2 linked regions of the Mus musculus genome follow. The protein of the gene in region 1 purifies or fractionates together with the protein of each later gene. This does not show direct contact. Links are inferred from orthologs where the notes say so. Each region holds a gene or a part of one and is shown on either strand. Other genes may lie near its edges.

Region 1 (4,971 bases):
GCCATCTCTCCAGCCCAATTTGTCTTTCTTGAATATACTGTATACTTCAGTCATAACAAATTTAGTTTGACTGCTAGGAAACTCACAGCCATCAAATGCTATTTCCATTTTAACATGGATTCTCGGCAAAATTACTTCTGATTTAAAAATATGTACATAATTTTACTCATTATTTAAAAATTTCACACATTAATAAAATACATTTTGTTCGGCACCTTTTCTACTTTTACTATTCCTAATTTTTGTTTCCATTGTAAGCCTTTTTATATATCCTTTCTGGAAGCATGAGGTGCATGTATTAAATAGCGACTCATAAAACGACAGGAATAGGAAATGAACCTTGGAGGAAGGATGAGAGAGATCTATTTTAAACTAGTTTATTAAAGCTGTGTACATAGTGGCTCCCAGTTAGTCATAAAGTCCTGTCCACTCTTTTTCAAAAACTTCCCTTCAACCCTACTTAACACTGTCCCATACCCACCTCCATTCCGTAGTGCTGGGAGCTGGAACCTCCAGCTAAGCTAAGCAAATTACCCCGGAATAGCAGTGTCCTCCCCAGTCCAGCCCTTGTCCGTATTTCTTTTCTGCCCTTGCCCTCTTTAGGCTTTACTCATTAGGGTTTGTTTGTCTGTAAGGCTGAGTCAAGATGGAACTGGAAACACAGTCAAGATGGCCTGGAACCAGAGATCATCTTCCTGTGCTACCTCCCCAAGACTACCAGCACTAGAGAAATCTTTTTAACCAAAAAGTTAATGATGGAACTTTGATGCCTCATTTCAGACCTTTAAATGAGAAGTCAAACTGCTTACTATTGCTTCACTATGGCTTACAAAATCTGACTGGGAGGTGAAAGGGGGAATACAAGGGTGGTGACAAATACCTACAGTTCCAGGACTCAGGAGTGTGAGGCAGAAGGGCTACCTAGGCTTTGAGACTATATGTAACTGGGCAGTGGTGGCGCACACCTTTAATCCCAGCACTTGGGAGGCAGAGGCAGGCGGATTTCTGAGTTCGAGGCCATCCTGGTCTACAGAGTGAGTTCCAGGACAGCCAGGGCTACACAGAGAAACCCTGTCTCGAAAAAAATCAAAACAAAAAAACAAAACAAACAAACAAAAAAATAAATAAAAACTGTATAAGGAGGGCTGGCCAGACTGCTCAATGGATAAGAACACTGTCTATTCTTCCAGAGGACTGGTTCAAAATCCCAGCACCCACATGGCAGCTCACCAGTGTTTGTAACTCTAGACCCAGAGGCTCTGGCACCCTCACACAGACAGACATGCAGCCAACAACAACATACATAAAAAATAAACAAATCTAAAATATAAAAAATAAATTAAAAATAAAAGCAAGTGAACAAACAAAATCTATATAAGGCCAGGAGTAGAGTCCCTTGGGAGGCAAAGAAGCTGAGCGTGGTGGCCTAAAGCAAGTTGACCTCTGTGAGGCCAGACTGACCTAGTTCCAAGTGAGTTTCAAGACAGTCAGAGCTATGTAGAGAAACCCTATCTCATAGAACAAAACCAAATCCAGCTCAGGCCTATATCCTCCATAGCAATCTACAAAACCATATCTATAGGTTTCACACCAGGACCTCAGTGCCTTTCCAACTGAGCCCTCCTTTTCCTCCCTGACTCTTCAGCCAGCCAAGGTCTGCTCTTTATAAATGTCCTCATTTTAAATGTTATTTCCCCAGCACTGCCTGTCTTTAACAACTCTGGGACCTTCAGGGTGGCTCTGTGGGCAAAGGAGCTTGCTGTATAACCCTGACCACCTGAGTTTGCTTCCTTGGGCTCCTATGATGAAAAGAGAGACTGAACTCCTACAAGTTGCCTCTGGTCTCCATATGCAGACACACAAACATAATACAATTTAAAAAACAAAACACAAACCTCTCACCTGTTATCTTGAACTTAAGTCTTTATCGTACAGTATCTAAGCTGACTAGGATCCCAGACAGTTGCCCTGCAAGGTAGGGCTTGTTTTTATTTACTGCCAGGGGCCAGTAATCCAGGATCTAGGACTCATTTTCTAGGCTAGTGATATACTACTGAGCTACAAACTATATTTCCATCCTCAGGGAAGTTTTTAATGTTTCCAAGGAATCCACCACAACCATTTAATTACATATAGTATGCTGATCTGGTTGTACAACATATATTCAATCACTGAACAGCTTCTATTAACAAAAATTTAGCCAAATGTCAGCCTTGTTTGTAAAAAAAAGACCGAATTCTGTTACAGACCTTAAAACCAACCAGAAAATGAGACATAAACCAAATCTAACTGTAAACTGAAATTTTGTTTCTATGATGGAAATAAATGGGGATTCTCTTAGTCGATAAAGGGTCACCTAAGAAAACAGTAAGCTATGATTTGAAAGCTGAAAACGAGAGTGTGCTAACTTTTTTGTTTTTTTTTTTTTTTTTTTGGTTTTTTTTTTTTTTGGTTTTTCGAGACAGGGTTTCTCTGTATAGCCCTGGCTGTCCTGGAACTCACTTTGTAGACCAGGCTGGCCTCGAACTCAGAAATCCGCCTGCCTCTGCCTCCCGAGTGCTGGGATTAAAGGCGTGCGCCACCACGCCCGGCGGAGAGTGTGCTAATTAAGTTTGTTTCTGGACAGGTTCCTTTTGGTAAATAACTCGGCAGCGGGACGAGAAAACTTCAAAGCCGACAAAGACACAGACACTGATACGCACACACACTCCTCCAGACTCCGCCATCCAGCCAGGAGCGTACAAGAAAATTGTAAAGCCGATAAACACACACACACACACACACACACACACACACACACTCCGAAGAAAATTGCAAAGCCGACAAAGACACAGACACAAACACACATGCGCGCACACACACACGCACACAGAGGCACATACACACGCGCGCGCACACACACACAAAGTCCCCTCCACTCCGCCGTCCAGCCCGGAGCGCCTTTCCGAGCCTTTCTCAATCCCCGCCCCCTTCCTCTTTGTCCAGGGTTTTCCCTTCTCCTCGCCTCTCTCTTTCCCTCTTCCTGGGCCCGGCTCTTGCCTCGGTGAAACCCCCGTAAGTTGTCTGGTAGAACTCATCTTCCTCCTCTGCTTCCAGGAGCCCAGAAAGCCGGTTCCCAGCGGTTTTCCGTGGGGCCCGGCCCCCAGCCAAACTCATACCGCCTACAGCGACTGCGCTGCCGCCTTCAGCCCCTGGCCCAGCTCGGGGTTCTCGCAGATCGGCACTCGACACTATTACCTGCGGGCGACCGTCAATGACGGAAGTTCAGCGTCTGCAAGCAAAAGCAGCCGAGCGTCGAGAGGTCCTAGTTATTTTCACCTTAAGTCTCTTTGTGGCTGGTGGCTGCTGTGGCCACTCATAGGCAGCGCCTAGGGCACAGTACCAGGGTTCCTCCTCCTTACCTAGATATTTTGTTTGTTTTTCTACAGACAGGATCACACTTTACAGTCCTGGCTGGCCTGGAGCTACCTGTGTAAAGCAAGCTGCCCTCGAACTCAGAGATCTTCCTGCCTCTGCCTCCCGGTGATGGAATTAAAGGTGTGCGCCAAGTAGGCCTGCCTCATAGCAAACTCCTTTCCCTTCTCCGCTCCTACTTTTTTTTTTTTTTTAAGATTTATTTATGCTAGGCAGTGGTGGCGCACGCCTTTAATCCCAGCTCTTGGGAGGCAGAGGCAGGTGGATTTCTGAGCTCAAGGCCAGCCTGGTCTACAGAGTGAGTTCCAGGACGGCCAGGGCTATACAGAGAAAAGCTGTCTCAAAAAAAAAAAGTATGTATGTATGTATGTACTTATTTATTTATTTAATATGAGTACACTATTGTTGTCTTCAGACACACTGGGAGAGGGCACCGACAGCTCTTTCAGAGATCCTGAGTGAATTCAATTTCCAGCAACCACATGGTGGCTCACAACCATCTGTAATGGGATCTGATGTCCTCTTCTGGTGTTTCTGAAGACAGCTACAGTGTACTCATATACATAAAATAAATAAATAAATCTTTTTAAAAATTGTATGACTTTTTTTTTTAACTATGTGTTTGTGTTCATGTGTGTGAGCATGTACCACTGCACTGGTGTGGAGGTCAGAAGACAAATGTGCAGGAACTGGCTCTCCACGTTTACTGTGTGGAATCTGGGGTCAAAGTCAGGTCACCAGGCTTGATGGCAGGCTCCTCTATCTGCTGAGTTTTGGTTTTGGAGACTGGTTCTCTATGTACTCCAAGCTTGCCAGTCTCATAGACTGGTCTGCTATGGTCTTCTCCGTGTTTCATGCTACTAGGTTAAGGGAAGAGTTTGTTTTTGTTTTTGTTTTGGAGTGTGTGTGTGTGTGTGTGTGTGTGTGTTTCCCCCTCTTTGCTGGGAATGGAACCCAAGGTCTCAGGAACTCTAGAAAAGCATTCTACTACAAAGGTACATCCCAAGTGAGGCCAAGGATTGTATCTGTCTATACTACGAATGTGAATGCCTGCAATAGGCTAGGTTTAGGTAAACAATGAAAGACTAAATGAAGAAGGTATTCATTCTTTTACTGTTTTTTGGTTTTATTTTTGTTTCTGTTTTTTTTTTCTAATGCCAAGGATTAAATTCAGAGTAGTGTATAAGATAGGTAAGTTCTCTAATTCTGAACTACACCCCTATCCCCAAAAGGTGCTTTGATAAAGCACACTTACATGCACTGACAACCGAATGGGTGGCCCTTCTTTGAGGTCACCAGATTGCCTCCCTTCTGAAAGTATGTATTGGTGAACTCCCTTTGCCATTTCCTCAGGAGCACCAAGCCACAGCGTTCTTCTCTGCCCCAGCTCCCACACCTTGCCCAGTCACCCCAGTTCTGCTATGCTAGGAATGTCACTAGGGAAGAGTAACCCTGTGACTCAGAGGACACCTTGGGACTGAGTAAGAGCTGGGGCAGAGAGACAGAGGGGTAGGATACCTGCTTCCTAAACATTCCAAGCCCTCCTTTCGGTTACAT
Region 2 (4,514 bases), about 62 Mb from region 1:
GGCTCCAAGTCGGAGGCCAGCCTGAGGTTGCTGGAGTGGGGAGTCATTTTTATATGTAAATGGTTTTAAGCAGATACTCCTACTAGGTCCCCACTCATCTGTCAGTTTTAAGTGCAAAGATCAATGAAGCACTGAAATCATTCTTAATATTTTTACTAAATAGTATTTTTAATGCAATATTTAAGCCAAATAAGAATCTTGCTTTTAAGTTAAAATTTCTGCTTGTACTGAAAGTTTTTATGACTCAAAATTGTAATAAACCATTTCCAGAAAACCCAGAGTGGTGTTCTAGGGAAAAATATATGTATAAACTGGGGAGAGTTACTTGTAGTACCAAGACAGATTTTTATCAATATAGAATAAATACTAAAAGAATTCTTGAGCCCCAACAAAAAGAACCAGAAAAGATGTAATTGTTCAGAGAAAAATATGGTGCACTGTGAGATGATAAAACGTTCTTTATAAACTGCTACACACAATCTTATTCTCAAAAGTTCCTCTCTCAAACCAGAGACTGTGTCAGTGGAATCTTAACTACTAACCAAAGATGCTAGGATAGAGCCACCAATCCATGAGCTGAACCTCCGCTCCACCGTCGTGTTGTTTGCAATCAGTTTCAACCGCATACTCTACAACAGATGAAGAAGAAGCGTTAGGATACTGGGATAGCCACAACCGCCAACCTGGGAATTCAGTGCTGAAAAACCTCTAGAGGCATGGTGGAACATGTACTTAATCCTAGCACTTGGGATACAGAGACAGGCAGATCTCTTAGTTCCAGGCCAGTATGGCCTACATAGTGAGTTTGAGGTCAAATAGGACTACAACAGCATCCAACACTCACACCCACTCACCCTGTCTGTCTCTACACACACGGAAAAACAAATTAGTTTCACATGGTGTCAAATGGCTAAGCTAATAGTTGGCATAGGCTAGGCTACTTTTCAGGAAAGGTCTTAATGAATATCGGGTAAGAAAATGAACTATGTGACTCAAGAGACTGGGCAAACACAAGCATGCAACACCACACCAGGTAGGAAGACACACTGGACTGGAAATACTGAAACCCATGCTCTAACTTTTGCTGTCAGGAAACTTGTTCAATTTCCTCAACATGACACTCCCCTGAGAGCTTTCATTCTGCAGCACTAAAGACATTACAGAGCTTGCAGTCTCCTCCCTTGAACAGCTCTATTAAATATATTTTATGATGTTCTTTTAATCACGAACACTGTTACTCTGTAATCTCATTTAGAGTTGTAAGACAGGATTTATATATGTACATAATTTCTTCCTGTTAAACATAAATTAACAAAGCAACAAAACCAAAACTGTAAAACCTGCGTAGGACAAGGCCAGCCCTTACAGTTCATGCACCTCCAAAGGCCCCAGGTGCTTCATTCCTCTTCTTCGAAGTCTCCCACCCACCACCCTACCCCAGAGATCCTGCTACCGAAACTCTTCCCAATCAAAATGCCAGACCACAAGTGACTTGATTCACGCTCATGTCTGCAACCCCAGCACCCGGGCTGAAGGGGGCAGAATGCTGAGTAAATCAGCCTGGTCTACAATGGGACAACAACATATGCCCCATCTCAAAAAACTAAAACCTTAGTGCCTCTGTTCTGAACGTAGTATATCGCCCAGGCCAGCCTTAAACTTGGGATCTTCCTGCCTCAGCCTTGCAGTAGCTGGGATAACAGGTTTGTATCACCTGGCCGGGGGTCAATGATGTATTCAATTCACTTTCTTTAGGGTCTTTTCCTTTCCTCCTTATGAATCTGCCTCTAGGAATCATTTTCAAGGTGTCCAAACAGGCACTCTATACAACACAAATGTGGACAACCTTCATAGTGCATTAGCGTGTGAGGTGTCAGAGCCCAGAACCAGCAATGTGCTAGTATGGGTGTCTGTTCCAGAATGGAACTTTTCTTCTGACAATTTTCGTTTTAATTACTCCCTTAAGGACAAAGGTTTCTAGATTACTCTTGGGGAGAGGGGGGCTTATTTAATTATTTTAATTATGTGTATGTATGTATATGCCTGTGTGAGTATATGTACACATGAGTGCAGGTGCCTGAAGAGGCCAGAGAGGGCACTGGAGCCCAAAGTGGGTTCTGGGAACTCATGTCCTCTGCAAGAATAGCTGATGCAGGGAAGGCTACATAACACCAGCCCCTAGTTCACTCCTCAGCAGACCTTGGGCCATTCATGCCTGCAGTTGTATTTGTTGGCTTTCTATGAAATCCAACCGTCAGAACTTCTACTGCAGGTTCTCCTACACCAGTGCTTCTCAACCTCCTTGACTCCTTTGGGGGTTAATGATGCTTTCATATCAGGTATTTACATTATAAATCATAACAGAAAAATTGAGCCGGGCAGTGGTGGCACAGGCCTTTAATCCCAGCACTTGGGAGGCAGAGGCAGGCGGATTTCTGAGTTCGAGGCCAGCCTGGTCTACAGAGTGAGTTCCAGGACAGCCAGGGCTACAGAGAAACCCTGTCTCGAACCCTCCCCCCACCAAAAAACTCCAGAAAAATTATAGTTATGAATTAGCAATGAGAATAATTGTGTGGTGGTCACAACATGAGGAACTACAGCATTAGGAAGATTGAGGACCACTCTCTAGACTATCATCTCCAACTCTGCAGTATACTGACGGCAGATGTCAATCATGCAAGCGTATTAATACCCAGACAGCACTTCTGTTTAACATCAGCAACTAAGACAGTTTCTACAGAAACACTTAATACCCTGTAAGCATATTATGCCTTGTATTATTAATACACCATGTAAATTACCCCTCCAGATTCTCCTCTCCCTTGAAAATTAGCACCATATGCCCTGTGAGTGTATATGTATGTGTGCTCATGTGTGCACACTTATATGTGAGTGTGTGTATGTAAAATAATGTGGAGAGAGATAAAAGACACCGAATTTGACCTCTGGCCTCCAGAGAGACATACATGGGTTAATGTACACAGCACACACAAACATTTAAAAGAAATTCAAGTAACAGAAGAGGAACCAATAGGTGTTACATAGGACAAATACATTATTAATAGATATTACTCATAATATAAAGGCACACAACTATCTATTAAATTCTACTCGGTGAGAATGGACACAAATAAATAACACAAAGAACAGAAAAACTTACTGGTGGAGTTTTCTGAGAAAGCTCTCTATTTAACCTGTCAGTGAAACTCTGTATTAGCGTGTTTCCTCCTGCTACGATCACACTGCCGTAGAGACCCTAGGAGAGAAGCAGAATCATGTCCAGGTGTTTCCAGCAATCCCACAGTATTGATAGGTGCTGGGAATTGGATCCAGCTACCAACCTGTTGTTCCATTTACTTATTTTGTATGTATGTAAGCAAGCAAGCCACAGCTTATATATGGAAATTAGTAAGACACTTTTGGGAGTTCTTTTTCCAACATGTGGATTCTGAGAATCAAATTCAGGTTATCAGACTTTGGCGGCAACCACCTTTATGCACTGAGTCATCTTGCCAGCCTAGAGCCACTAATGTAAAACAATTATTATTAATCTCATAATTTTTTTAAAGTTTTTTTTATGTATATGAGTACACTGTAGCTGTACAGATGGTTGTGAGCTATCATGTGGCTGCTGGGAATTGAATTTAGGACTGCTGCTGGCTCCAGTCGGCTCCACTCGCTCTGACACAAAGATTTATTATTATATCTAAGTATACTGTAGCTGCCTTCAGACACACCAGAAGAGGACATCAGATCTAATTACAAATGGTTGTTGTGAGCCACCATGTGGTTTCTGGGATTTGAACTCAGGACCTTCGGAAGAGCAGTCAGTGCTCTTAACTGCTGAGCCATCTCACCAGCCCCAAATTTGTAATTCTTATTGGCAAACAGCTACTAATATTAGAGGTATATTTCATAATATTATTCATCTTTGTTCATCTGAAAGTCATGATATTTTACATTAGACAAAATTGTTTTCTGATCCTGACAGATAATGATAATGTTTCCTGGCCAAAATGCTTTCTCTTTTGTAGAAATGTTGCAACTTTTTTAGAGCACAGGCTGAACTTCCCAAATAAAAACAACTTCCTACTCAGAAGGGATGTATTTACTTCTACTTTGCATGTATTTATCAAATGTAAATGCCAGCCTGCCTTTTTAACTGGCTCTGTTCTTAGCTTTAAAACCTATTCCAGCCATGCAGTGGTGGCGCACACCTTTAATCCCAGCACTTGGGAGGCAGAGGCAGGTGGATTTCTGAGTTCGAGGCCAGCCTGGTCTACAAAGTGAGATTCAGGACAGCCAGGGCTATACAGAGAAACCCTGTCTCAAAAAACTTAAAAAAAAACAAAAACAAAAAAAAACCTACTCCAAGCATATAAGTTGTCAAAATTTTGGACTAGAAAATGCAAAACTTGGGTCCCATCTGCTAACGTTAAATAAACAGAAAAGGACCTCAATATCAAGCTCCACTCTTACAAATGTATTTAATTCTCTGCCTTTAAGTGACCTTG

What was found. The genes of interacting proteins can lie anywhere in the genome.
Region 2: the proteins of Vps72 (region 1) and Actl6a purify together in Homo sapiens (affinity purification with mass spectrometry; 3 studies listed by BioGRID and IntAct, with this or other methods). This does not show direct contact. The link is inferred for Mus musculus from reciprocal best matches to the Homo sapiens genes VPS72 and ACTL6A.

Annotation. Positions count from the first base shown.
Region 1 is NC_000069.6:95,109,283-95,114,253, reverse strand, and holds the start of Vps72 (vacuolar protein sorting-associated protein 72 homolog), read right to left. Parts: upstream 3,213-4,971; 5' UTR 3,157-3,212; coding exon 3,040-3,156; intron 1-3,039. UniProt on the Homo sapiens protein: Deposition-and-exchange histone chaperone specific for H2AZ1, specifically chaperones H2AZ1 and deposits it into nucleosomes.
Region 2 is NC_000069.6:32,721,362-32,725,875, reverse strand, and holds part of Actl6a (actin-like protein 6A), read right to left. Parts: intron 3,257-4,514; coding exon 3,161-3,256; intron 630-3,160; coding exon 543-629; intron 1-542.